Linked DNA regions of Oryctolagus cuniculus. The protein of the gene in region 1 interacts with the protein of each later gene in a pairwise test. Links are inferred from orthologs where the notes say so. Each region holds a gene or a part of one and is shown in the gene's direction. Other genes may lie near its edges.

What was found.
Region 2: the proteins of ANKS1A (region 1) and DOK3 interact in a two-hybrid assay, tested with the Homo sapiens proteins (2 studies listed by BioGRID and IntAct). The link is inferred for Oryctolagus cuniculus from reciprocal best matches to the Homo sapiens genes ANKS1A and DOK3.

The regions. Positions count from the first base shown.
Region 1 is NC_091436.1:134,343,530-134,347,326, reverse strand, and holds part of ANKS1A (ankyrin repeat and SAM domain-containing protein 1A), read left to right. Parts: intron 1-1,281; coding exon 1,282-1,407; intron 1,408-1,720; coding exon 1,721-1,792; intron 1,793-1,927; coding exon 1,928-2,014; intron 2,015-2,563; coding exon 2,564-2,701; intron 2,702-3,237; exon of another isoform or gene 3,238-3,480; intron 3,481-3,797. UniProt on the Homo sapiens protein: Regulator of different signaling pathways. Regulates EPHA8 receptor tyrosine kinase signaling to control cell migration and neurite retraction.
Region 2 is NC_091437.1:63,501,269-63,505,609, reverse strand, and holds the start of DOK3 (docking protein 3), read left to right. Parts: upstream 1-1,306; 5' UTR 1,307-2,149; intron 2,150-2,579; exon of another isoform or gene 2,580-2,682; 5' UTR 2,683-2,806; coding exon 2,807-2,872; intron 2,873-3,599; coding exon 3,600-3,905; intron 3,906-4,341. Other genes in the region: probable ATP-dependent RNA helicase DDX41, read left to right, coding at 77-226, 319-390, 506-616, 697-833. UniProt on the Homo sapiens protein: DOK proteins are enzymatically inert adaptor or scaffolding proteins. They provide a docking platform for the assembly of multimolecular signaling complexes. DOK3 is a negative regulator of JNK signaling in B-cells through interaction with INPP5D/SHIP1.

The DNA.
Region 1 (3,797 bases):
GGCTTGCTCCCACAGCTCACATCTGTTCACCTCCCCAGCAGAACTGCAGCCCAACTCAGAGCCGGCCATTCCTGCTCTGTGCCTGCGGCCTCCAGTGGGTACAGCTGGCGACCCCAGGGTGCTCACCAGCCTTGCCGGCCCTGGTGCCGCCTGATGTCCTTGCCCAAAGCTGGTTCCATCTCTCACTCTAGCTCACCTGCTCAGAGCGTCGAGATACTGAAGACTGGCCTGTCCCACCTGCTGCCTTGCACAGGCCCCTGGCCGTGTCCCTTGTCCCCTTTGGGCTTGTCAGATAGCGGATTGGCAGGTGTTCCTCACGCCCGTGAGGGTGACTTTAACTTCACTCCTGCCTCTTTTTCTGACTCACACTTTTCATTGCTGGCATCTGGGGATTTCGCTTGCTGTTCCACAAACTTGACCGTGACTTCAAAGGTCTTAAGAACGGCCCTTCCAGCAGTTTCAGGCGCTCTGTATTGTGAGGCCACAGCTGCTGGCAGTGGAAGCCTTACACACTGCCCGAATCTGCTCCTTCCTCCCCTGCCCTCCTGAGGAAGCCATCATCTTCACCTGGGCCCAGCCCCTCGCCCAGCTGCTGCCTGAAGGCTCTGTTTAAAATGCAGCCCCAGGGGCAGGTGTTTTGCCTGGTCTTTAAGCCTCCCACATCCCCCATCAGAAGGCCTGGGTTCGGGACCTGGCTCCGGCTCCTGACGTCAGCCTCCTGCCAGTGCAGACCCTGGGGAGCAGTGCTGGCTCCCGGTGGGACTTGTTACCCAAGTAGGAGACGTGGGTTGAGTTCCCAGCTTCAGCTGCAGCCAGGAGCCATTGTGGGTATTCAGGGAATGGGCCAGCAGATGGGAGCTCGCTCTGTGTCTCTCAAGTAAAAATTAAAAGCATCCTAGCCAAGGATTCCCGGTCTTGCACTGTGAGACACGGCTCGAGTCGTGTGCACCTCTGCTTTGTTCTGGACAGCGCCCAGCAGCCCGGGCTTCCCCACACGGAGTCTGCTGTATTCCCCTTTGCTTTTGGTCATTTCCGGTCTCCTTTGGGACTCCTCTTGGACTCTGCAGAGCCAGCCCTTCCTGACTGAGCCCTGCTCTGAGCTGTGGGTGCCCCCTCCCTGCTGTCCTCAGCACCTCCTCCCCTGCACAGTGCATTTGAATTGCTACTCTGCCCCCACCCTCTCCACTGGCCCTTGAACTCTGAGGTCACTGGCTTCTGCACCCTTGGGTGTGCTGCGGCCAGCCAGCAGCCAGCAGCCGTCCCATGGCACGTGTTCTGCAGGAAGAGCACCGCGAGGCCAAGCTGACCCTTCGGCCCCCCAGCCTGGCTGCCCCCTACGCCCCCGTGCAGAGCTGGCAGCACCAGCCGGAGAAGCTCATCTTCGAGTCCTGTGGTTACGAAGCCAACGTGAGTTCCTCCCCACCGCCGTTTCCCGGCCAGGCCTCTGGAGTTCCGAGTCCAGGCTGGCCCTCGGACCCGCCCAGGCCCAGGCCCAGGCCCAGGCCCGGGGCTCAGAGGCTGTTTTCTCTGTTCTTCAGTGCCTCCCCGCAGCATAGGGGCCGGGGTAGAGAGCTCTGGATGGGCTTAGCCAGGGGAAAGTGGAGGCCTTCCCAGCCTGGGCAGAAGGGGGTTCGCTGGGTTGTGGGACAGCCCCAGATTGGCGGGTCACACTGGACAGTAACACCCGAGTCCTGAGCCCAGCCACTGTTCGCTCCCACAGTATCTGGGGTCCATGCTGATCAAAGACCTGCGAGGGACAGAATCTACACAAGACGCCTGTGCCAAGATGCGGGTAGGCTGGAGCACGCAGGGGCCAGCTAGGGCAGGAGGCCGCAGGCGGGAGCACCGTGCGGCGGATGGGAGGGAGGCCGGGGCTGGAAACCAAGGCGGTGAAGGGACATGCACGGGCACCCCTTGTTCTCTCCAGAAATCCACTGAGCACATGAAGAAGATCCCCACTATCATCCTGTCCATCACCTACAAAGGAGTCAAGTTCATCGATGCCTCCAACAAGGTGCGCTTCTCCTGAGGCCTGTAGACAGGCGCAGGGGCCTTGTCGTCACAGTGATGGGGCTCCAGGGCCAGCCACCCGGATGCCCCTCCTCACCCCTGGTCTCAGAGTGCCCCTGGGTCCCTGTCATTCTCATCCCACCACCCTTGCCAGGTGCTTGCCTATCTTCTACCCTGGGCCCTGCCACCTGCCTCTTTCCCCACCCTAGTCAGCATGGCTTACCTGCTTGCAGGCCTTCGGTGAGCAAAGGCCCCTCCCCGCGCCATGCACTACCACTTGGGGTGCCACCGTCCTAAGCCCCTTCCCACCTCGCCCCTACCCTGGAGGCCGGAGGGGCTAGAGAAAGCTCAAGATTGGATGTGAACACTTTACTGCCTTAGTAGCTGTGGTCAGAGGCAGAGAGCCCGCACCTGAGTTGGGAGAGGTGGAAGTGGGGTTTGGCTGATGCACTGGGTGAGACAGAAAAGGCGATGGAGATGGTAGAAGCCTGGGCGGTGGTGCCGGGGCTGGGCCTGGGGAAGGCGGGGGTCCCAGAGCGCTTCCTGCCCGCAGAACGTCATCGCAGAGCACGAGATCCGCAACATCTCCTGCGCGGCCCAGGACCCCGAGGACCTGTGCACCTTCGCCTACATCACCAAGGACCTGCAGACCAGCCACCACTACTGCCACGTCTTCAGCACAGTGGACGTGGTGGGTGGCGCCCCGGCCCCGGCCCCGGCGGGCACTGAGCACACGCGTGGTCCACGGAGCAGGCCTGCTGCCTCCCGGGCCGGTCTCCTTCACACAGGGGTGAGGCTGAAGCACGGAGGCGGCCAGGGCTGGCCAGGGCCTGCGGGGCAGGGGTTTCTGAGGGCTGGCGAGGCCTCTGTCTCCCCAGGGCTCTGTGCCCGGCCCCGTGGCCCTGTCCCGGCAGCGCCCTCCCGTGCAGGTTTCCTTCCTCACATTTCTTCTCACACTCAGCCTGGGGCCTGTGGGGACTCTGCCCGGAGACAAGGCCCCACGGCCCTCCGGGAGAGCAGCTACTTCAGAAGCTCTGTGGCTCCTGGAGTACTCAGCTCTCAGCACCCCCTGCAGCCCAGCCTCCTGCTTGCTCTGGGCTGGCGGGGTTAGGAACCGGGTCTGGCATCAGACACCTGGCTGTGCCCCTTGCTGGCTGTGTGACTTGGGAAACACTTGTGGCCACTTCCTCATCTATTCAAAGGGAAATATGAGGGACTGCAAAAGGGTTTTGGAAAATGAAATTAAAAGGTAAGTTTATTTTTGGTACAAATCAGTTGAAATCCATGCATAGTTTTTATATAATATGCATTTTCCATGAACTCTCTGAAGACTTGTGTAGCCAACCTCGCGGTCGGGGAGGCGGGGAAGGCCTGGAGATGGAGGGAGGTGACCCACGCCGCACGCACAGTCCGTGGCCCTTGTCGTGTGCTGCCCGCTCTGTGTCGTATGTGCTCCTAAAACTCACCGTGCTGCATAAACCACACAGAAACACCATGGGGCTTGTGGGTAAGGGGTTAGGGGCACCAACTGTCAGTGACACAGTACAAAAAAGGCACTTAAAAACACTCACACTATTGTATTAAATGGTTACAAAATATGTAACTAGATACTGCAGCACACGCACCGCCTTGAAGGCTTGCAGAGCCGTGTGCGGACACACACACACACCCCTCCCTCCCCCGCCATGACACACACACACCCTTCCCTCCTTCCTTCCCTCCCCCACCATCACACACACACACACACACACACACACACACGCCCCTCCCTCCCCACCCCTGCCATG
Region 2 (4,341 bases), on another chromosome or scaffold:
CCCTGCCTGGCCAGCCAACTCGCTGCTATGCCCCAGATTCCTCCCGTGGCTCTGACAGCTCCAACCCACCCCCCAGACCAGGAGGAGCGCACCAAGGCCATTGAGGCCTTCCGGGAGGGCAAGAAGGACGTCCTCGTGGCCACAGATGTGGCCTCCAAGGGCTTGGACTTCCCCGCCATCCAGCACGTCATCAATTACGACATGCCTGAGGAGATTGAAAACTACGGTGGGGACCGGGGGCTGGGGGCAGCCCTGGCAGGGGAGAGGCCAGGCCCTGGGCTCAGGGCAGTGGGCCAGAGACGCCATTTCTCTCCACAGTGCACCGGATTGGCCGCACTGGGCGTTCAGGAAACACAGGTATCGCCACCACCTTCATCAACAAGGCCTGTGGTGAGTCTGTCTCCAGAGCCGCCTCAGCCCTGCCCCGGGCCCTCTCCCTGTGGCCACTCAGGTTCTGGCCGCGGGGCCCAGAGTGGGGCCTGAGGATTTCCCCTCGCGCCCGCAGATGAGTCAGTGCTGATGGACCTCAAAGCCCTGCTGCTGGAGGCCAAGCAGAAGGTGCCGCCCGTCCTGCAGGTGCTGCACTGCGGAGACGAGTCCATGCTGGACATCGGAGGTGACTGGCAGGGAACCCAGAAACAGCCGGCAGGGGGCCCCGAGGGCCGGGACCCCACTGACCTTCCCCTGCACCCTCAGGGGAGCGCGGCTGTGCCTTCTGCGGGGGCCTCGGCCATCGGATCACCGACTGCCCCAAGCTCGAGGCCATGCAGACCAAGCAGGTCAGCAACATCGGCCGCAAGGACTACCTGGCCCACAGCTCCATGGACTTCTGAGCCGACTGCGTGCCCACCTTCTCTGCGAGAGGCCTCGGGGCCCCGGGCTCCAGCCCCCAAACAAGAAGCCAGCATCAGCCCGGCGGGCCTGGGCCGCTCCCTGTGCCCCCAGAGTTACTATTTTTGTTCCTCTTCACCCCAGCCGCCATTAAAGCGCAAGTTGTCATTTCTTCCCCAGCCTGTTTCTGTGTTTCACCTGGTGTAGGACCTTGGGCCTTGCGCAGGTCTCATCCTCCGACTCCCAGAAGCCCTCAGGCGAGGTGTGAGCCCCTTGAAAGGCCTCAGGCAGACTCCCCGCTGGGGGCTCAGGGTGTCTCAGGGCCAGGCCACATTGGTAGGCCGCAGGGCAATGGCTGGGTTCCGTGGTCTCCCTGGCAGTTTGTCAATCACCCCCGACCCCCATCAGCCTCACTCTTCCTGTAAGTTGCTCCCAGGGCTTCACCCCCCCCCCCCCCCCCCCCGGGAAGCTACCCATTTGGAAACCCTCAGCTCCATTTGCCAAGGAGGCATCTGATGGCCCAGGAATGCTTTCAGACCAAAAAAGTGCCCCGGCGCTGCCCCGTGCCCAGTGCTCTGTTGGCCTCGGCACCCAGGCGAGCCAGGCAGAGGACTGCTTGGGCTGCGCTCAGCTGAGCGGGGGAGACTCACAGAAGCGTGAGCATCGCAAGGCCGCTGGCCGGAGAGCCAGGACTTTGGCGAGAGGAGAGCAGACAAGCGGCGCCAGCCGGGCTGGGTTTCACCCGGTTCCCTAGTGCCAGGTTTTCTGTTCGCAAGGCCGCATGCTGATCCCAGCAGGACAGCTGTTGCTCAAGCCCTGTTTGTCACTTGGTGTGTGGCCTCGGGCAAGTTACTTAATTTCCCCGAGCCTTGGCTTCCTCATGGCTGAAACGGCCACGAGGGTGTGAAGGGCCTGGAGTCGGGCTGGCGGAGCTCAGTACTGCCCGGGCTCCTGTGGGCACACAGCCAGGTGGCCAGGACCTTCGAAACTGTGTCCTGGCTGAGTACACGACCCCAGGATGGCGTTCCTCAGCCTGGTTACAACATTCTTTCCCCTTGGTGACAGCCACACAGACCCAATATTGGCCACCAAGAAAGCAAGATGGAAAAAAAAAAAAAGGCACCCTGGGCAGGAAGCCACACTTAAAAAGTTCACGTGACCGCTTCTGGGGGCCACTGGGGACTACCACGCACGCCCATGTGGCTGGAGCCGCTCAGGTCTGGGTGCCTGAAGTGCCGGGTGGATACTATGACATCCTTTGTGTGCTGTCAAGACAGCAGGGAGTGATCAGGGAAGGCCTCCAGGAAGAAGCGGCAGGGTGAGCGATGATGCCCTGGGGGAGCTGGCTGGTGGGGGGGTGCAGCTGAGGGAGGTGGAGGTGGGACACTTGGCTGGCCAAGAGCTAGGCCGAAGGAGGGAGGTCAGGGTGAGTTGGGGCTGCTGGAGGCAGGCAGGCCCAGGTCACAGAGCAGAGCCATGGGGAGCTGCCGGGGCTGGCTGTGGGCAGGGCTGTGAGGAGCCAGGGGCTAGGCTGCACTGTGTACTTCAGAGAAGCAGAGCAGGACCCAGTATTTGTAGCAAGAGCCTTGGGGTGAGGGTAGGGCTGTGCCCTAGCTGGGGGAGGGTCAGAGCTGATGACTCAGGGGCACCAGCACCAGCACCAGCCTGTGGTCAGACGCTCACATGGAGCTGACCCAGGTGCGGCACAGGGGTCACTGCCTGAAGGTGATCTGAGGCTCCTTTGCCAGGCAGATGGAGGCACCTTGGGTCAGCCAGGACGCCCAGGGAGAAACGCGTGCGGCCCCTCAGCCCTTAACCGAAGGCTGGACTCCCCTCCCCCCCGGTCTGCAGCTGCTTCTCTGGACAGAGGGAGGGGAAGTGGCCAGAAGGGGAAGTGTGAAGAGTTCCTGTCCAGCCTGTCGCCTGTCACCAGTCTCCTCGGGTCTTGGGAGCAGCCCGTGGTCCGGCTGTGGCCATGGAGTCGCCAGAGACCCCGGTGAAAGACGGCCTCCTGTACCTGCAGCACGTCAAGTTTGGCAAGGTGCGACCCTGGCCGCCAGGCGGCCGCCCGGGACCAGTGGAGCCGGAGACCTCAGCCTGTGCCCCAGCCCCGCACCAGAGCTCTGGGAGGGAGGCCGGGTGGGGGAGTGGATGGAACCGGGGTCTTGGCCTGAGAGTGCTGCCTCTCTTAGGGATGGGGGAGCCATGCGTGGGGAAGGGTCTAGAACCAAACTCCTGCACAGAGGCAAAGCCTCGTGGCCACCTGAGCCACCTGGTAGGGGCCCTAGGGTCCCTGGAGGGCCGGGGGCTGAGCTGGGGGAGACCCTCGAGGTGGAGTCCCACCTGCAGAAGGGGCCCCCCTCCTTACAGCAGGCCCTGCACCCGGGCTGCTGCCCAAGCAGATAAACGGTTGCTTCCTTTGCTCGAGGCTATTTGCATGTTTCCATCCTGAAGCTGGGGCCTCCCCTCAACCCCAGCCCATGGCCCAGGTGTCCTTGCTTTGGTTGAGGTAGGGAGAAACTGACACCAGGGCAGGGTCAGGTGGCCTGCCCTGAGAATCCATGGCAGGGGGATAGGCATTTGAGGGACATGCGTGCACCCAGATACTTATGGAGGTCATAACAGGGGGCGGAGGGGAGGAGGAGGAGAGCCCTACTCAGCCTAGTCCTTGCAAGGCCTCCTTCCTGGTGCTCCCAGGGGAGGCAGAGGCAGCCTGGGTAGCCAGGAACGTTTGCTGAGCTGAGCCTCTCTCCACGCCTCTCCCACAGAAGTCCTGGCGAAAGGTATGGGCCCTGCTGTACGCGGGCAGCTCGTCAGGCGTGGCTCGACTGGAGAGCTGGGAGGTCCGGGACGGGGGTCTGGGGCTGACATGCGACAGGGCCACAGGACCCAGCCGGCGAGGGGAGCGCCGGGTCATCCGCCTGGCTGACTGTGTGTCCGTGCTGCCCGCCGATGGCGAGAGCTGCCCCCGGGATACTGGGGCCTTCCTGCTCACCACCACCGAGCGAAGCCACCTGCTGGCAGCGCAGCACCGCCAGGCGTGGATGGCCCCCATCTGCCAGCTGGCCTTCCCGGTGAGTGTGGGCAGGTGGACGCGTGCTCCGGGGGCGGGGGCGGGGGCGCTGGCTGGGGCCACCTCATCCCACATAGCCTGTCACTCAGCAAACACGTGAACAGCAAGGTTGGGAAGCAGCCCGGAAGCTGTACAGCGACCCTCAGCTGGAAGATAAAGAAGTGTAAGGTGGCGTTGGAGTTGCCAGGGGAATGCCAGGCAGGCCCCCTGGAGGAGGGGACGGTGGACCTGAGTGCTTACTGACCAGTCACCAGGCGAAGGTCTGTGCGTAAGAAAACAGCATGAGCAAAGGCCCTGAGGCAGGGGAGAAAATAATGTGTTCAAGGGCCAAGAAAGCAGGCTGGTGTGGTGAGAGGGTGAGGACTGGGGAGGAGAGTGGGAGGGGCCAGGCAGAGACTGGTGGGAGCCAATGAAGACCCCACATGTGGCCAGGTGCA